3 linked regions of the Nothobranchius furzeri genome follow. The protein of the gene in region 2 interacts with the protein of the main gene of each other region in a pairwise test. Links are inferred from orthologs where the notes say so. Each region holds a gene or a part of one and is shown on either strand. Other genes may lie near its edges. The genes, in order: tnmd, tmem79b and rnf8.

Region 1 (3,652 bases), on a different chromosome or scaffold from region 2:
TACAATATCTTGGTTGAACGTCTGATTCCAAAGGCCCTACTCAGAAATATTTGTTTTGCCCCCATCTTGAACGGCAGTTTGCAGTCGAGGTTTGCTAAATATTATGTGATAATTGGTCATGTTGTCGTTCTTCTGTAAGCATGTAGCAACTATTCTTGAGGGGAACTTCTAAAAATATAGAAATTTAATTATGGTGTTGGGTGAGGAATGTAAAGTTCTTCAATGATTTGGCTGCACATCATGGAAACTCCACAAATGAACATCTTCACCTCCTTGGACCTCAGCTACGACTCTCTACATAAGGTAAATCAACAGTTATAACCCTGCAGCCCTCCTTTCAGTGACAGATATCCAATTAGATCTCCATTCTGGATTGCTCTTTGGGATTCGATGGAGTGGCAGGTTTGATTTCTCCTCATGAAACCATGTTGCATGTTTAGACTTTAACTAACAACAAACAATGTTTTGCTGTCTGAAAATGCCAGTAAACATAGATCAGGTTATGCTCTGTTGGAAACTGAAAACGCCTTATAGCACATTTAAGAAAAAATACATGGCATGTACATGTTAATACAATATTAGCTTTAAATCTTGTAAGATAAAAATTGAAGCAAGCCAAAGAAGTAAGCGGCTAAAATACCCAATACACTTTGATTATTATTACATACATTGAACTAAAATGCAGTGGTCCTGGAGGGCCGCCATCCAGCACGTTTTACTTGTTTCCCTGCAGCAACGCTTGATTCAGTGGTTGAATCACCTGCAGCAGCTCATCAGGCTCTGCAGAAGCCTGGTAATCACCTGCTGATTGAAATCAGGTGTGTTGAGGCAGGGTTAAGACTAAAACATGCTGGGTACCGGTCCTCCAGAACCAGGACTGAGAACCACTGCTCTAGTGTATATGTACCTTTCAGGAAAGCATCATTACATTTCAAATGCCTTGTTTGGTTGATTTGTTTTTGATGGTAAAAAGAAAAAAATCAAAGTACATGTCCCTGCTTTGGTCTCAAAAGGGGGTATTCTGGAATATTCATCAGAGACGACACAAACATCAGATCCTCCCCAGCATACGAGCGATCCACCAGTTGCATGGCATCACGATCTGACAGATGACCCGGCCTCCTTGGTAGTAGTATGGCCATGGGTTGAATCCACCCAGGGGCTCGTGGTAGCGTTGACAGTAGCGGTAACCACGGCGACAGTGCTGACAGCAGAAGCCGCGGTCATCCAGGCGGTGATCCAGCTCGATTCCAACATCCCTCTGCAGAGGACACAGGGTTGCAATCACACACACACATGACAAATGCCAGTCCTCCAGAGGCAAGGGCAGGAGAGAGGAGGAAGAGGAGCGGGATGACGTGAATTGATGAGGCTACTCTTGGTTCTAGGTCAGTGCGATGTATGTAAAAACCAAACAAGAGTGAAAAGATCAGAACTGATTTCTGTGAAAATGCAAAGTTGTGTCATGCTTAATGACTCTGACAGAGATCAAGATAACAGAGAGAGAGAGAGACAGGTCTGAATTGAGCTTCGGAGGAGTAAAATGTAACGCCCCTGACCTTTTCATGACACCAGAGGTAGCGCGACTAGCAGTTACTCAGGGAAGTCAGCCACAACCTCTCTACCAGCATCATCTTCTGTCTGAGACACTGTGAGTTGCTAGTTACAAACATAATTAAACTATTTCTTTCATCTCTGACCTCTTAACTCCCTCCACTGCAGCACACACTGCACTAGAAACGGCTGTCCCTCCTCCACCAGAGCATTCAAATCAGAGCTCCTCACGTCTTGATGCCCTCCCCCTGACCTTGACTTTAAGTGCAAGGCACATTCCTGAAGCAATTAGCAGAGTAATGATCGCCTAAGAAGGATTCTTTCATTTGCTCTTGCTGGCTGCCTCTGAATTTATGGAGGAGCCAAATGAAACCCAAACGAAAGGTAAATTGGGTAGAATTAATGGCCCTTGGATTTTTCCATTGTGCTGGTTGGTTCATGCCCTCATTGACTCTTTGGGCTGACTGCCATGCCTCTGATCAAGAACAACTCCAAATGGTGTTCGAAAAAGTACCACTTAACGGGTGGTGCGGGTTGAGACAGCGGCTGCCCTCAGCACGCTTTTGACAACATTGCAATCTCTTTTAGTAAATGAATCCTCTGAGACGGTCCGTCTCGGTCTCGTTAATCTCCACGGATCCGGGACGGCCTTCGAATTCAGAACAAACCGGCGCAAGGAATGCTTACAATGACTCAGCTACGTGCAGTGGTGCGGAACAAAACACAGCCACTTTTGGGAATAGGAAATGTTTAAGAGGACTGGACCCAGAGGGAAACAGAGCCAAGTCCCTTCAGTCCTCCACCTTGAGCAGGGCGGGGGGATAAGGGGATTTCTCGCATCTACTCTGCAAGCCACCGAGCAGTCAGTCATGGCCATTTTGTTTGTGTTATTATGTGGGAGCCAGCTGCTTTGAATTTCATACAACAATGACCAATCAGGAGGTTTGATGAGAGCTCTGATAAACTGAATGACATTACACACTTGTGAGACATTTTTAAAAACACGTAGAAAGGCGCTGCAACAGATGATATCGAGGATAGATGGGTTTGATTTATTACTATGACAGGCACTGGTAAGCTTTTAATGATTTATTGTTCCAGCCAGGTTTCAGGTCATCAGCTCCCAGGCAACAATCTGTTATGGAAACAACACGAAAGCTGTCAATGGACCAATGATAATCTTATCTCCTCCTCGCAGCCTGAACCAGGATGTAACCAAGTCTGGGGCTGCGGCTCGGAAAATGAGGAAAATATTTTATTCAAATGACGTTCATCAAAACAAACAGCCAATAGGCAGCATTGTACCTTAAAGAGAATTAATCAGAGCTACCCTTTTTAAAAACGGAGCCTACATATTAATCACTCTTGCTCTGAGTTGCTGTCTCTGCTGGGAAGCTGCCATGATAAGAATAGTTCACCTTGGGAAATCTGAGACAGTCACTCACAAACAGGCAGCATTAATGAGGAGTAGAAACCATTACCTCCTCGCTGCATCTGATTTCATCACACACACACACACACACACACACACACACACACACACACACACACACACACACACACACACACACACACACACACACACACACACACACACACACACACACACACACACACACACACACACACACACACACACACACACACACACACACCCCTCTGTGCATAATATGAGACAGTGGATGTGAATGAGTCGGCAGAGTAGAAAACTGTGTCAGTCATTCAATAAGATGTAGCGAATCAAAGCATGACTTCTCTAATCTCCACACTTGTTGGTATTATTTCACACACACTGATCACCGCTTTTCATGAGCTTGAAGCACATGCCTGGGTGTGTTATTAAATCTCAGAGCAGAGCTCATCACATTCATCCGCTGATCAAAACAGCAGAGATAATGTTTCTTTATAATGCCCTGCTTTGTATTTTAAAGAGCTTTAAATCAAAACAAAACAAAAAACCTCCCCTTTTGCATCTTTTAGTGCTGGCATGTGGGTTTCTACAGCCTCTATAAACACTTCAAATGTAAAAAAATGCATCCACCCATATTTTTTTTTGTGTTTGGTTTTAGCCTGAAACAGACAGTGTCAAAAGCCCCCA
Region 2 (3,752 bases):
CACCATACAGGATTGCTGATGCCACCACAGAGTCGTAGAAGGGCTTCAGGAGTGTCCCCATCACCCCAAAAGACCGTAGTCTCCTCAGGAGGTGGAGCCTGCTCTGGCCCTTCCTTCCTGTCTGTGTTGTGAGACCTTCTACTCCAACCACTGGTCGGTAAGCAAACTGCAATGGATACGTCGAAGGTCCCACAGTAGACCGGAGGTGTCCCAGGATCAGTCTCTCCAGTGTCTTCATCAGGTGGGATGTGAGAGCCACCGGCCGGTAGCTACTGAGCTCATTAGCTTTTCGTGTCTTCGGCACTGGAACCACACAGGAGGTCTTCCAGAGCTGAGGTACCACCCTCAGCTTGAGGCTCAGGTTGAAGACATGCTCTATAACTCCACTCAGTTCATCTGCGCAGGATTTAAGGAGACTGGAGCTAATATTGTCAGGACCAGCAGCTTTTTTCGCTTTGATCTGCATCTGCTCTCTCGTCACCTGGCCTGTTGTAAAGGAGAGGAGTGGGCAGTGGGGCTCTGTACTGGGGAGGGGGCCGAGTCCTGGGGGATGCACGATGGTGCGAATGGAGGAGCCAGAGGTGTGAAGGGCTGTAGTTGTAGGGGGTCTTCCAGGTGTCGAGTTATTTGAATGAGGCTGTGTGGGGGAAGGGGTGGGTGCTTGGTCAAACCTATTGAAATACAGGTTTAGGTAGTTGGGCCACTTCAGGTCCCCCTCCCCCTGTGAGTGGGGTGTTTTGCTTCTCCATTTTCCTATTGTAGCTGGCCTCCCTAATCTTCCTCCTCAGCTCCTTCTGAACGGTTCTCAGCTACTCCTTGTCCCCAGATTTGAAGGCTCTCTTTTTCTCCTTTAAGAGAGTTTTGATGTTGGGGGTGATCCATGGTTTGGTGTTCGCGGAGCACCACACCGTCCTGGAGGGAACGGTGTTCTCAAAACAGAAGTTTATGTAGTCCGTGATGCAATCTGTGATGGCATTAATGTCTTCCCCATGTGGATCACAGAGATCTGTCCACACCGTGGTGTTGAAGCAGTCCTTGAGAACCTCCTCACACTCATCAGTCCACCTCCTCACTGTACGTGGGGCCACAACCTGCCTGTTTGGATTTCACCTAAAGCTTTTGAGTAACGTATAGGTAAGGCCTGGGACAATTATTCACAATTAAGAGTTTCCCCTGCATCTCTATGAACTTGACAAGCTCTTCACTGCTTTCTTGTCTTGCTTTGCAAGATAAAAAAAAAAATATATATATATATATATATATATATATATATATATATATATATATATATAGACTTTTGCACTTTTTGAGCAGGACCTGTTTCAATAAATTCCAGATGCAAAAGAAGTGCTGGAAATGCTCTATATTAAACTTTCATAAATCACAAACTGGATTAGGGTTAGTCAACCCAGTACACAGTCTCAGAATAATCTGTGGTTTTGAGCTGTCTGCTCTAATAAAGGATGGTTTCACCAACCACAAACTAAAATCTGGACACATTCTGCTAGAATCAGTTGAAATGGTTCTTTAGCCATTTTTCTAAATGGAAATTAGAAATAGAAAGAAACTTCAGCTCCATGAACTTTAGCTGCAACATAGGCTGTTTATTGTTGTTTTGAATAGGCCTACATTTACATATGAGGTATTTGTCTGCTCCTGCATCAGAAGCCATCAATATGTCACATTATGCTGAATTTATGAGTACCATGTTGGAATTGGTTAAACACTCCCGCGATTAATCGTGAATAAATACTAATATTTTCTTGACTGACCGCCCTAATCAAGTTTTATTTTGTTTTCGATAAAGATACCAGAGGCACTGTCAAAGACATCATGGCTTCCTGGGTTGTTGCTTTTTTTAACATCTATCTTGATTCTTTTAAAGAATTTTAAGACAGTGTTTACAATCTGACGTCATTGGGGACACGCGATCACCTGGAATCACCTGTTGACCAGAGACGAGCTAACATGCTAACATCATGGAAAGCGTCACAAACAAACACATCTGGGTCCAGTACCTGGTTCTGGTCCTCGGTCCTTCTTTCTCCAGTTTTATTTAAGGTTCTTGTTTTGTTTTTTTTCCTGGACCTGAGTTCTCACCTCTAACTTCTGCCACCTGGAAATTCTGTTGTGAAATTTTGCGGAAGTCAACGTCAGGTGTGGTCTCTCAGGTAAATAAGAAAGCCTGCTTAAAGGGCCAGTATTGGTTAAATGCCTGCCGACAGAAAATCCTCCCAGGTGATCAGAAAGCCTCTGAAAAGCAAACAGCGTTTATTGAAACTGAGCATTATTATTGTCCCTCAGTGGGGAAATGTTTCAGTCTTCCATTCTGAGCAGGATGGATGTTCAATAAATTCCTTAATTACGCAGAAAAATCTTTAGTTTCGTTTAGTTTAGTTTAAAGCTTTCAAACGTGTAAAAAGGACAAAATAAGCAAACATTTTCACACATAATTGAAAGATGCAACTAAAAAAATAATAAAATGGAGAAATCATAACTTTGAATAAAATAATAAATTTCCATGTCTGAAAAGGAGAAGATGGAAGTAAAACATGACCCACCCCTTCCTTTTAAGTTAATGTCATTTACTAATTGGGCTTCCAATCATAATCGAATACTATCAATCTCAACAATACTCTTCACATATCATACAATCATAGCCAAGAGCTTCACAACAATATCTAACCTATAAAAAATTATTAAATAAACAATATTCACCTACTGACCATGAAAAAAAATGCACTGTTTCTTAAACTCACTAATATTCAGACATTCCCCGAGCATCCACTTCAAACATTTTCATAATTTAACCACAAACCCAAATACAAACACTTGATAATGAGGACAAACAGCCATTTTTACCGCAGTTTTGCTCAAAAACATCAGTTCAGTCCTTGTGATCCACTCGCTGTTTACCTCCTCTTTCCCTCCTCAGCTGTGGGAGCTCTGTGAAGCTGACCCCCGTCAGCTTCAAAAGTGCAGGCAAATAGGCTGCTCGATTAACTACAGGGGTGAGGAGGACTAATGCAAACAAATGGGAATTACAAGGGAGGAGGAAAACATGAGGAAAGCCTAGAGGGAGCTGGGGAACACAAGAAGACACATGAGGAGAACCTGAGGGAGAACAGGAGGGGGCTGGGGACCAAGGGGACACAGAACATGACACATTCACCTGGAAAACCAGAAATTAGTTTTTAAACTCTAAAGAAAATTTTGAACAGGACATAGCGGAGAAACGACAGACTCTAAATGATGTGAAGAAATGTTTAAAAGCTGAAAACATTCATCTGGAGAACCAGAAATCAGAGTTTGAGCAGAAAAAGACAGAATTACAGCATTAGATTAGATAGACAATTTCTGCTCAAAGAGGAATTAAATATTCAACTTCTCAGAGAGAATCTGCAGGAAGAGAAAAGGGAGTTTATTAAAGCAGTAGAAGAAGCTAAAAGTGATTTCAATGAAAGTCTAATTTAAATGAGAGTTTAAAATGTATGATCATTGCGAGTCTGTGTGTGTATGTGTTTGTGGGGGGTGCAGTGTGTGCGTGCGTGCATGTGGCAAGGACGGGGAGCGCGAAGGATCAAGCCTGGGGTACCAAATTCGGTAGAGTCAGCCCTGGTGTTACCTGACACCTGATGATAGGCCCTAGGTAGGCGGCCTTGGGGATCAACCCAGCGGCATGATGACTGAACTTTTCGGAACTGATCTGCTCTGGGTGGCTGCATGTTGGAGTAGCTCTGTTGACGATATGT
Region 3 (3,752 bases), on a different chromosome or scaffold from region 2:
AAACAATGTCTGTAAGGGTTAAAGAAACGTTCCAACAGAATAAATGAGTGAAGATCAAAGATGGATGATTCATTTCTATGAGTTTGGCGTGGATGATGAGAACACACCTCTCACCTTTCCTTTCAGTGATGAGCGTCTGCCGCCGGGCCTTCATGTCCAGGCTCAGGTTCTCCACCATACGGTTGATGCAGTTGTCCAGGGCCAGACACCGGGTCTGGGACTCGATAGCCTGTCTACAGATGGGACACTCGTTTTTCTTCTTGCGCCACAACTTGATGCAGTAACAGCAGAAGCTGTGAGCACAGTTCAGGATGACCGCCTGTACAGGGACATTTTTTTTTAATTTCAGCAGGTGAAGTCGGGTTTTTGTGAGTAAGATGATCCCAAACAGGTTCCTGGCTCTACCTCGATGAAGAGCTCTGAGCAGATGATGCACTGGAGCTCGTTCTCCAGAACCTCTGTGACTTGTGTTACTACCTCCTCCTTTTGGGCTTTCGCCTTTTCTTTTTCCTCCTGGAGGAAAAAAAATATGAATCAAAGTGACAACCAAGGTAAAAATGTGTGTTTTAAAAAGTGTCTTTCAGGCACCTTTGTTTCTTCTAGTTCTTTGTTTTTCGCAGAGAGGATTTCTTCAAATGTTTTTCGAGAGTCGGCAAGCTCGTCGATCACTTTCTTTTGCTGTTTGTTGAAAAAACAGGCACAAAAAAACTTTTTATTACATTTAATCAAAAACTTAAAGAAATAAACTAAAAAACTGTTAGTTTAAATTAAATGTGTTAACAGCTTTTAATTAGTTTAATTGAACCTTCTTACTTCCTGAAGAGCCTCTTCAAGTTGTTTTTTCATTAGCTCCTCTTGCTGCTGTGTTTTCTGCTCCTAAACGCATAAAAGACAGACGATTCACTTAAATTGAAACTTTATTTTTATGGACATATATATTTTTCTAATTGTAAATGCAGATGAACCTTTTGATTCACATATGTCAGAACAAGAAGGGTGAGGAACGTGTTACTTTCCATATGTGGCGCTTTTGTTTGAAACCCCAAAAAAGATGCTCAATATTAATATGCTCTGGAATATTAATATCGATATGGAATATGATGCAGAAATGTAGCTCTTTAACAGGTTTTGTTATGTTTAAGATCTTTTTTTTGCAACGTTACCAAGATTATTTAAAGTATGGCTGAATCATTTTGAAATGTGGAGAATTAAAAGTTAAACTAACGCTGTAAAATAAAGCAATTGCGGGTTGGGGGAATGAAAATGTAACGATGTTTCAAAAAGAAAAAAAAACAACACTCCTGACCTCCAACTGTCTCCTTGTTTTACTGAAGGTTCTCTCTAAAGTCTTCATTTGACACATTTTGGCTCTAAGGGTTTCCAGTTGACCCTGCAGCTCACGGACCTGCTCCCGTCGGAGAGGATCTGCCCGCCTGGGTTCTCCTCCAAGAGATGATACCTGCTTCTGGGTGTCATCCACCTGCTCCCGTAACAGCAGGAGATTCTGGCTGTACCTGCAGGTTATACATTAATATTTACAACTTTTACACAACAGAACATCAGAATGGACAACTCCTAAAGAGTATTATTTTCATTAAAAGTAGAGAGGAGTCTGTTTGAATATGTGACACATAATTCAGCAAATGTATTAAATAAAAGCTTGTAAAGGAGCAGTGTCTTTGGTTTGATTGAGAACCTTTTTTACGAGGAGTCACACTTTACCTCTGCAGGTTGTCCACTTCACAAGGATCACTGGATCCATCAGAGTGCTGCTCTTGTTTTTGTGTGCTGGATGCCGTCTCCTCCAGGTGTGTGTTACTGAGCCGCTGCTGGCATTTCACCGCAGACAGAGGACAGGGTTTTGCAAAAGATTTCCCTTCTGAATCGCAGCGGTACAGCTTAGGCTTTGATGTAGAAGGCTCGACTTCCTCCACAGTCAACTTCCTTTTGGATTTTTTGGAGACTTGCGGCTCTTTAGCCCAAGTTCTACATGCCTTTGCCAGGTACGGCTGAATGTTTCTGAGCAGTCGCCGGATGAGGATGTAATCAAATTCTACTTTGGTTCCTGATAAAGGAACTCCAAGTCGGATCGAGTCTCCAAGTTTGAGCAGGTAAGGTTCATCGGCAGAAATCCGATTTCCGTTCACCCAGACACCATTGAGACTCTGTGGAAGATAATTAATAATAATAATAATAATAATAACTTATTTACTAAGATTTAACTTGGTATTAGCTGCTGCTGTTAATAATAGCCCCATCATCTGTTAGAGATCAATTTTAGGAGAGTTAGCTCAAGAAATAAGGCTACCTTTTTGTCTACCACTGTCCAGTGACCGTCTTCTATCTGTCTGAAGGCACAGTGCAGTCTGGAGATCATGAGAGGACTACTTGAAGACAGCAGCTGGTAGGTGACATCCAAACCACGTCCAACAGTGATCTGAGCAGTCAAAAACAAACGTCAATTTACAGTTTTTCCATATAAACAGGGTCCACTACGCCGTTAGAAAAAACTTAATGAATAAAATGGCATGCCTATTGTATGTATACATAGCACAATCCTGAAAATGATTTTTTTTAGTTAAGCTAACATTAGCAAACTGTACCTCTGCCTTTTCGAACAAACGAAGCCAGTCTGATTTTTTTCCGACTCTCATCAGACACAAGACCTCCGAGTCCGAACATTCACCGTCCTCAGCCGAACATGAATCCGCCGTTGCACTATCCATGTTAAGCCATTCTGTCACAGGCCAAACACTCCGCTGTTGTTGTGTCTTATATGTATATGTCGATGTGTGTCTTCCGTCACATAACTGCTACATGCTAACGCGGTAGCGATCCGGGAGACACCGGAAAACGGTACAATTCATTTCGAAATAAAAGCGACGGGAAACTGCTAAAATAAATATCAATGTTTTATTTATTATTTCTTGTATAACGGCACGTATCACGTGTTGTAAATCTTTTGAACAAGGCAAAATAAATAAAAAAGTATGAATAGAATAGGTTTCTGGGATACGTTACTCTTTATTTATTGACATTTTTAAACATGAAAGTAACGTTAAAAAGTAAATGCTAGTATTTTGGATGATAAATATTTTAATATATTAAATATATTTTTGCTTTATGAAGTTTAAATTTTTTTTAAAGCAATGAATTTTTTTTATCGAAAATTCAAATTAGAGCACTTTGTTGTTGTGATTTGTTCTCAGTCAGGCAACCCAGCACCCTAAAACGAGTGCACCTAACCCCGGGGCGGGACTTCCTGTCTGCACCGGAAGTCCCAGTGTTGAACAGGCAGAAAGGGCTTGGTCCGTGTGTCACCGGTCTTATCCGCGTATGTCTGGACGGGAGATAACCAGGCTGCCGAAGCTGCGTAAATAAATCTCCACCTCGGCTATGCTGCCCTGAGAGCGCCGCGAGTATCCGCCCCGCCAAAATGTCTGATGTCAACAAGACTATTCAGAAATGGCACGCCAGTTTCAAGAAAGGCACAGACTTTGACTCGTGGGGACAATTGGTAGAGGCTATAGACGAGTACCAAATGTGAGTTACATTCAACATGTGTGTCTTATTTTTGTACGATTGAGTGTAAACATCTGGAACAGCGAGGACGGCTTGTTTAGCTTTTTATTTTTTTGCTGTCTTAAAGCTTGTCAGCTCTTAAACCTGCAGAAGTTAGCCTCGGAGCTGTCAGTCAGCCCCCACAGCAGTAAATAAACCCTTCCCATCCATGACGTGATGTGGCATTGTTG

Evidence for each region.
Region 1: the proteins of tmem79b (region 2) and tnmd interact in binary tests that used the Homo sapiens proteins (3 or more experiments, as listed by UniProt). The two-hybrid records come from large-scale screens. The link is inferred for Nothobranchius furzeri from reciprocal best matches to the Homo sapiens genes TMEM79 and TNMD.
Region 3: the proteins of tmem79b (region 2) and rnf8 interact in binary tests that used the Homo sapiens proteins (3 or more experiments, as listed by UniProt). The two-hybrid records come from large-scale screens. The link is inferred for Nothobranchius furzeri from reciprocal best matches to the Homo sapiens genes TMEM79 and RNF8.

What each region holds. Positions count from the first base shown.
Region 1 is NC_091741.1:85,815,631-85,819,282, forward strand, and holds part of tnmd (tenomodulin), read right to left. Parts: intron 1,262-3,652; coding exon 1,052-1,261; 3' UTR 1-1,051. UniProt on the Homo sapiens protein: May be an angiogenesis inhibitor.
Region 2 is NC_091745.1:66,341,543-66,345,294, reverse strand, and holds the start of tmem79b (transmembrane protein 79), read right to left. Parts: upstream 2,268-3,752; 5' UTR 2,101-2,267; intron 1-2,100.
Region 3 is NC_091742.1:8,359,015-8,362,766, reverse strand, and holds the start of rnf8 (E3 ubiquitin-protein ligase rnf8), read right to left. Parts: upstream 2,858-3,752; 5' UTR 2,727-2,857; coding exon 2,604-2,726; intron 2,438-2,603; coding exon 2,309-2,437; intron 2,166-2,308; coding exon 1,723-2,165; intron 1,515-1,722; coding exon 1,307-1,514; intron 877-1,306; coding exon 814-876; intron 679-813; coding exon 589-678; intron 514-588; coding exon 406-513; intron 320-405; coding exon 115-319; coding exon of another isoform or gene 108-114; intron 1-107. Other genes in the region: aida (axin interactor, dorsalization-associated protein), read left to right, coding at 3,437-3,543. UniProt on the Homo sapiens protein: E3 ubiquitin-protein ligase that plays a key role in DNA damage signaling via 2 distinct roles: by mediating the 'Lys-63'-linked ubiquitination of histones H2A and H2AX and promoting the recruitment of DNA repair proteins at double-strand breaks (DSBs) sites, and by catalyzing 'Lys-48'-linked ubiquitination to remove target proteins from DNA damage sites.